Oryctolagus cuniculus: one gene and its partner. The protein of the gene in region 1 binds, or shares a complex with, the protein of each later gene. Links are inferred from orthologs where the notes say so. Each region holds a gene or a part of one and is shown in the gene's direction. Other genes may lie near its edges.

Region 1 (3,946 bases):
GGGGACCAGGTGAGGCGGTGGGAGGGAGCTGCCTGACTCCATCACCCAGGCCCAAGGGGCGGGAAGACTGAGAGGGAAGGAGCCCTGGGCCCGTGGGGAGGTCAGGACACAGAGTGAGTGGGATGAGCCCTAATGTCCTTTGTGACCCTCTGGGGGCCCAGGGATTATTCCCATTTTACAGAGTGGGAAACTCGGGCCAGAGAGGTCAGGGACCTACTCGGGAGAAGAGCAGAGGGGTGGAAGGAGAAGCGCACTTCGACCCGGCGCTCTTCCTGGCTGGCTCCAGCGCTGCCCTGAGTAAGCCCAGCTGCAGCAGCTGCTCGGAGGCCGCTGACTGACAGCAGTTGGAAGTCAGGCACTGATTTAAAGAAAGGGAGAACCGAAGTCCAAAGACGAGGCTGAGAGCCGGAGCACCCAGAGAAGAGAAACAGATTCCTGTGCCCGCAGCTCTTGCCCCCGTCCTCACCTGTAAAACAGCTGTTCCCAAAAGACACCCTTCAAGATCCAGATGCTGGGGCCAGCACTGTGGCACAGGGGGTTACAGCCCTGGCCTGCAGCGCCGGCATCCTATATGGGCGCCGGTTCGGCGAGTCCCTACTGCTCCACTTCTGGTTCAGCTCCCTGCTAATGCGCCTGGGAGATCAGTGGAGGATGAGCCAAGTGCTTGGGCCTTTCCACCCATGTGGGAGACCCAGAAGAAGCTCCCCACTCCTGGCTTCAGATCAGCTCAGCTCTGAGCAACCATTAAGGCCATTTTGGGAGTGAGCCAGTGGATGGAAGACTTCTGTCTTTTAAATAAATACAATCTTAAAAAAAAAAAAAAAAGCAGCTGCTATGTTTCTGCCTCTGGGCAGCCTTTCCTGACCTCCCCTTGGGTATGGGCTTCCTTTATGTGCTTCCTTTTAGCACAGCCTGGAGTGTGCCCCCCCAAAGTGTCTGCCCCTGCTAGGCTGAGGGGCCAGACTGATCTGGGCAGGGTTTTGCTGCCTGCCACCTGAGAGCGTCTGTTTTGGGCATGCTCAGTAGGGGAGAAGGAACAGGTGGGGGTTAGAATCTATCCATGTGGACGATTCTCACCACAGGGGCTGCGGGGTCCAGACTGAAAAGGCCCTTCTAGAAAACCTGGTCTCAGCTTCCCATCGTGCAGAGGGGGACATGGGGACAGGTAGAGGCAGGAACTTGCCAAGGACACTCGGCCAGTTAGTCCCTCTCACCGCTCGGCCTCTCCTGCCTAGGGCCCCAACGTCATCCCAGCGGACATCGTCTTCTACGTGAAGGAGAAGCTACACCCTCGCTTCCGCAGGGAGAAGGACAACCTCATCTTTGTGAACCCCATCCCTTTGGGCAAGGTGAGCGGGCAGGAGGTTGGGGACCAGGGTGGGACCTGCCAGCCCTCCCCTCCCCCCACCCTCTGCCAGCTGTCACTTGGTCCTGGGGACTCCACCCCAAATTTCCCTGCACTTCCATCCCCTCCCCTCATCCCCACCATCCAGGCCTGGGCGCCCACCGCCCATCTCAGCGCCTCTAGAGCCTGCAGGGGCCTTCACAAACTCCCCTCTGATGCTGCCACACCCCTGCCTCCACAGCTTCGGCCCTGTGCACCTCCTGCCCTGCCCTGTAGGCCCCGTGTCTCCTGACACTGCTGCCTGTGGGGCTGTTTCCACACCTCCACGCTCTCATTGCTGTGGCTCCTCCGCCTACCTCCCGCTGTGGGGCCGGCCATCATCAACTGGTGCCACCCTGTGCACCAGCATGGCCTCGGGGTCTCTCCTTGGCTCCCGCAGGCCCCTTTTATTTCCATCTCTACCCTAGCACTTTTACTACATCGGTGTCACTTTGACCTGCCAGACTGAACTCCTGGAGGGGAGCTCGTCTGGGTCACTCACCTGGTAGTTGTCTGTCTCCCTGGTGCCCAGCTCAGGGCCTGGCACTGAATAGGATCATGAAAGCCCTTTAAAAAAAAAGATTATTTATGTGAAAGGCAGAGTTACAGAGAGAGAGAGAAAGAAAGAAAGGGGGAGACACACACACACAGAGAAAGATCCTCCATCTGCTGCTTCACGCCCCAAATGGCTGCAACAGCCAGAGCTGAGCCAGGCCAAAGCCAGGAGCCAGGAGCTTCCTCCATGTCTCCCACCCAGCTAGCTGGGCCCAAGCATTTGGGCCATGCTCTGCTGCTTTCCCAGGTGCATTAGCAGGGAGCTGGATCAGAAGTAGAGCAGCCGGGACTTGAACCGGGGTCCATATGGGATGCTGGCGCTGCAGGCCACAGCTTTACCCACATCGCCAGCCCCAGATGATGAAAGGCCTTCTAGGTAGGACGGCCACGGAGACCCTCCCCACTCACCTCCCCAGGCTCTCACCTGCTGCACGGTGGAGGTGAAGACCCTAGACGACCGGCTGCTCAACATCCCTATCAACGACATCGTCCAGTGAGTCCAGCTGCCTTGGGCCCCAGTAGCCAAGAGAAGGGCTGGCCGGCCGGGGACACAGGGGAGAGTGTCAGAGAGGTCTGCCCAGCACCACTGTGCAGGCTGCACCCAGCCCCGGAGTCCCATCCTGAGAGGGCAGGAGGGGACTAAGGGCCGGCCCACACTGTGACCCAGCTGTGAGCTTCATGCACCTGGCAGAAGGAATACCTGACTCGCACAGAGCCGCTGTGGAGGCTGGAGGTCCCCTTCCACGCGGGGCTAGCCCCCTGCTGCCTCCACCCTCTGAACTTCTTGTTTCCCAGAGTCCTTCTCCAAGGAAAGCTGTCTGCCTGGGAAGGTTTGCCCTGCAGCCCGACACCATCACCCAGCCCCAGGGTCTGCTCACCCTTCTCTTGCCCAGTTTCCTGGACCAAAGACAGGATGCCTGGGCTCCTCCCCCAGGGACCCTGTGGACGGGGGTGGGGGGTGGGGGGGGTGGGTTTCCCAGGGAGTACGTGATTTGTCCCTGGGAGAGGGGTGGCCTGGGCCCACTGGGGGCACTGCTATACTGTGCTCCCTGAACCTGCTCCCTCCATCTCCCACCTCAGCCCCAAGTACTTTAAGAAGGTGCCGGGCGAGGGCATGCCCCTGCCAGAGAACCCCGATGAGAAGGGCGACCTCTTCATCTTCTTCGACATCCAGTTCCCCACCCGCCTCACGCCACAGAAGAAGCGGATGCTGCGCCAGGCACTGCTGACCTAGCTCTGCGGGCTCGGGCTGCAGGGGACGGAGGACGCCAGTGGGGCCTGATCCAGCCCTGCCCCACAGCAGCAGCGCCCCCTGCACATATGTGACCTGGTGCCTTACACATAATAAAGGTTTATTTCCTGACCTGGAGCTACACGCAGGAGAGTGTATTGGAGAGGAGCTTCCTACATCCCTTCTGGTGGGGTGGGGGGAGCAGCCAAGCACCTGGTCCCTGTGGGGAGCAGCTCGGACTAGACTGTTACTGGAATTAAGACTTATTCTATGCATCTGCTCTCCCACAATATGGCGCTGGGAGAGAAGAAAACAGCTTCTACACAGCTGCCTCCAGTTCAACCAATAAACTGTAGGACTTGCTCCTGATTGGAGAGCAGCGTACTCGGCGTGTGGGCAGCCGAGTTAGGATTGGCAGAGGAGGACTATAAAGGAGGAGAGAGACGGCATGCACCAGGGAACATCTAAGGGGAACATCTAGCTGAAGGAACACCTGTGCAGCCCCCGAGAAAGCCGGCCGGCGGTGTGCCGCTCCCCTGTGGAAGTGGGGAATGTGGCCAGGGGGAACTGCCCTTCCACGGAGGTGGAAGGGATAGTAGCCAACCCGGGAAGAACCAGCAGCAAACCCGGGGAGGGCCGAGCAGACGAAAGAACAGCGCAGGGTCCTGTGTCGTTCCTCCACGAAGAGGGGGAGCGACAGGTCCCCATCCTGGCTTTGTGGCGTGGGCAGTCCCCAAGGGCTTAGAGCCTCTGGGATCTTGCCTTGGCACAGTGGA
Region 2 (3,648 bases), on another chromosome or scaffold:
TTTAGTACAGTGCTATATAATAAAAGCCATATTTTTTTAAAAGATTTATTTATTTTACTTGAAAGTCAGAGTTACACAGACAGAGGAGAGGCAGAGAGAGAGAGAGAGAGAGAGAGAGAGAGGTCTTCCATCCGCTGGTTCACTCCCCAATTGGCTTCAACGGCTGGGAACTGCACCCATCTGAAGCCAGGAGCCAGGAGCTTCTTCCAGGTCTCCCATGTGGGTGTAGGGGCCCAAGGATTTGGGCCATCTTCTACTGCTTTCCCAGGCCATAGCAGAGAGCTGGATCTGAAGTGGAGCAGCCGGGACTCGAACTGGTGCCCACATGGGATGTCGGCACTTCAGGCTATGGTGTTAACCTGCTGTGCCACAGCGCTGGCCCCAAAGCAATATTTTTCTGTTTCATTTGATAACAAAATATGGGACAGGCATTTAGTGTAGCGATGAAGACTGTGCTTGGGATGCTTGCATCCCATATCAGAGTGCCTGGGTTCAAGAGTCGGTCCTGCTCCCAATCCTAGCTTCCTGCCAATGTGTACCCTGGGAGGCAGCAGGTGATAGCTCAAGTACTTGGGTCCCTGCCACCCATGTGGGAGACCTGGATTGAGTTCCTGGCATTTGGAAATTGAATCGGCAGATGGGAGACCTCTGTCCCTATCTCTCTGCCTCTCTGCCTCCCGATGAAATAAATGTAAAAATGGACAACAGAATAATCCATACTCCATTGTGCCTTAAAAGTGTGACGTTCAGAGTTCACTTTTCTTGTTTTGGTTGATGGGTATAATTAAAATAAAAATGTGCATGTTAGTTATACTGAGGTACTGCAAATCCCATTGATTTATAACATTGTCATTGTGATTTGCAGCCAGTGGACTGAGCAGACGTGCAAAACAATGTTAGCACCTCATATGGTCTCTGTTGGAAGTAAAAGCAGTTGTAGGCCATACATAAGCAAATAAGATGAACATGAGCATGGTGTAAAGGCCATTCCTAGCTTATGGGCTGGACAATTTGAGTCAGATTTGGCCCCTAGACTGTATTGCTGACCCCAATTTTAGCGCAACATATATTGTTGGTTATTCACGGTTCAGATAATATTCTTAAGATTTCCTCACCTACTGTTCTGCAACCAAGATTTGGCTATTTGAATATTCATTTATTTTATCTAGAGAAATTGGTGCAGTCTCATTTGTAGCTTCAAGAACAAAGAAGTGACTTCATTTTGTCCAAATTGTAGTTTCCAAAATTAGCAGTTAAGAAAGCTTCTTTTTTAAAAAAAATCCTGTACTTCATGAAATACTTGTAGAACCTAAAATATTAAGTGACTGTGACCATTTATTTTTGTGAGTTGCTGAAATTTCAGTGGGTATAACATAATTACCCTGGAACATTTAAAAGTTACAGTGTTAATTCCTTGCACTTAATCTGACTGTAATCTGACTTATGTATTTCTGAATGTTCAGCAACAGCTGGCGCTCCAGCTGGAGTTGGAAATGCAAGAAAAGGAGAGACAGAGAATAGAGGAACTGCAGAGAGCTCAAGAACAACTGGAGAAGGTAATTTGAAGTTTTATAAATGTTTTGTTTGAAGATATATTAAGTTCTTTGAAATACTGAGGGTTTTTGATCTCTGAGACAGTAGTATGTTAGATGTATTAGCAACAATAATTTACATTTAACATGTTTTCATGCAGATTTTTTTTTGACAGGCAGAGTTAGACAGTGAGAGAGACAGAGAGAAAAGTCTTCCTTTTCCGTTGGTTCACCCCCCAAATGGCTGCTATGGCCGGCACACCGCGCTGATCCGAAGGCAGGAGCCAGGTGCTTCCTCCTGGTCTCCCATGGGGTGCAGGGCCCAAGCACTTGGGCCATCCTCCACTGCCCTCCCGGGCCACAGTAGAGATCTGGACTGGAAGAGGAGCAACCGGGACAGAACCGGTGCCCCAACTGGGACTAGAACCCGGGGTGCCAGCGCCGCAGGTGGAGGATTAGCCTAGTGAGCCGCGGCGCCTGCCCTGACTGCTTCACTTCTGATCCAGCTTCCTGCTAATGGCCTGGGAGGGCAGAGGAAGATGGCCAACATGTGTGGGAGACCAGGGTGGGGTTCCTGGCTCCTGGCTTTGGCTGGTCCCAACCCAGCCAGTGTGGTCCTTTGGAGAGTAAACCAGCATGGAGGATTTCTGTCTCACTGTCTCTTCTTCTCTGTCACTCTGTCTTTGAAATAGTCTTTCAAAAAAGTTTTATTTAATTATATATGAAACATAGTTATCTTCTATTACTATAGAGTGTCGCTCCCCCTCTTCGCGGAGGAACGACACAGGACCCTGCGCTGTTCTTTTGTCTGCTTGGCCCTTCCCGGGTTTGCTGCTGGTCCTTCCCGGGTTGGCTGCCGTCCCTCCACCTCCGTGGAGGGGCGGGCCTCCCTGCCACTTTCCCCACTTCCGTGGGGGAGCGGCACACCGCCGGCCGGCTCTCTCGGGGGCCGCACAGGTGTTCCTTCAGATAGATGTTCCTGGTGCATGTTGTCTCTCTCCTCCTTTATAGTCCTCTTCCACCAATCCCAACTCTGCTACCCACACGCCGAGCACGCTGCTCTCCTCCAATCAGGAGCAGGTCCTGCAGCTTGTCAAGTTGGTGAGAGGCAGCTGTGTAGAAGCTGTTTACTCCTCTCCCAGTGCCATATTGTGGGAGAGCAGATGCATAGAATAAGTCTTAATTCCAGTAACTTAGTCTAGTTGGAGTTGCTCCCCACAATAGAGTAGTAAATAAAAAAAATAAAGTAAATACAATAAAAGTAAATAAAGTCAAGGTCTGTGATTTTGTGTTAAGTACATTCAGATCACTCTTCAAAGACTGATAGAATTTGGCTTTAGGTTGAATATAGCATTGGTAAAAATAAAAATGCTTGGAAATTAATGTGAAGCAAAATGAAGTATGTTCAAAGTATTCTTTTCATTTTATCTGTTACAGGAAATGAGAATGGAAAGTATCGCTAAGGGTGAGGATAGTTTACGTTCAGAGGTGAGAAGCAAAAGATTTTATTTTATGTGAAATGAATGAGTTTCCTGAAATGTAAGGCTTAATTTTGATGCATTAGTAGCTAACTTTTAAATAAGGATATTATCACAATTGATATTCAAAATATATATTCTAGTAATAACAAGTCACAGATATGATGTGCTTTGAAGCAAAATTTCAAAGTGGATAGAAAAAATTGGGCATTCAACTTGTATTTTTTAAAGATTTATTTATTTATTTGAAAGTCATAGTTATATAGAGAGAGGAGAAGGAGAGGCAGAGAGAGAGAGAGGTCTTCCATCTGCTGGTTCACTCCGCACTTGGTCGCAATGTTTGGAGCTACAGCTAGCTGAAGCCGGGAGCCAGGAGCTTCTTCCAGTCTCCCATGTGGGTGCAGGGACCCAAGGACTTGGGCCATCTTCTACTGCTTCCCCAGTCCATAGCAGAGAGCTGTATCGGAAGTGGAGCAGCTGGCACTTGAACTGGTGCCCATATGGGATGCTGGCACTGCAGGCCAGGGCATTCACCCACTGTGCCACAGTGCCAGCCCTGTTGTTTGTATTTTTAAAGAGAGTATCCTGAGATATTCACCATATTTCTTATATATTTTAAATTTGTGCATGTACTTTTA

The links. Proteins that work in one complex are often made in the same cells at the same time.
Region 2: DNAJB13 (region 1) and DYDC1 share a complex: the UniProt entries of both Homo sapiens proteins name them as parts of the axonemal radial spoke complex. The link is inferred for Oryctolagus cuniculus from reciprocal best matches to the Homo sapiens genes DNAJB13 and DYDC1.

What each region holds. Positions count from the first base shown.
Region 1 is NC_091432.1:65,266,754-65,270,699, forward strand, and holds the end of DNAJB13 (dnaJ homolog subfamily B member 13), read left to right. Parts: intron 1-1,235; coding exon 1,236-1,349; intron 1,350-2,355; coding exon 2,356-2,432; intron 2,433-3,019; coding exon 3,020-3,173; 3' UTR 3,174-3,308; downstream 3,309-3,946. UniProt on the Homo sapiens protein: Functions as part of axonemal radial spoke complexes that play an important part in the motility of sperm and cilia.
Region 2 is NC_091446.1:71,137,780-71,141,427, reverse strand, and holds part of DYDC1 (DPY30 domain-containing protein 1), read left to right. Parts: intron 1-1,463; coding exon 1,464-1,556; intron 1,557-2,969; coding exon 2,970-3,020; intron 3,021-3,648. UniProt on the Homo sapiens protein: Functions as part of axonemal radial spoke complexes that play an important part in the motility of sperm and cilia. Plays a crucial role during acrosome biogenesis.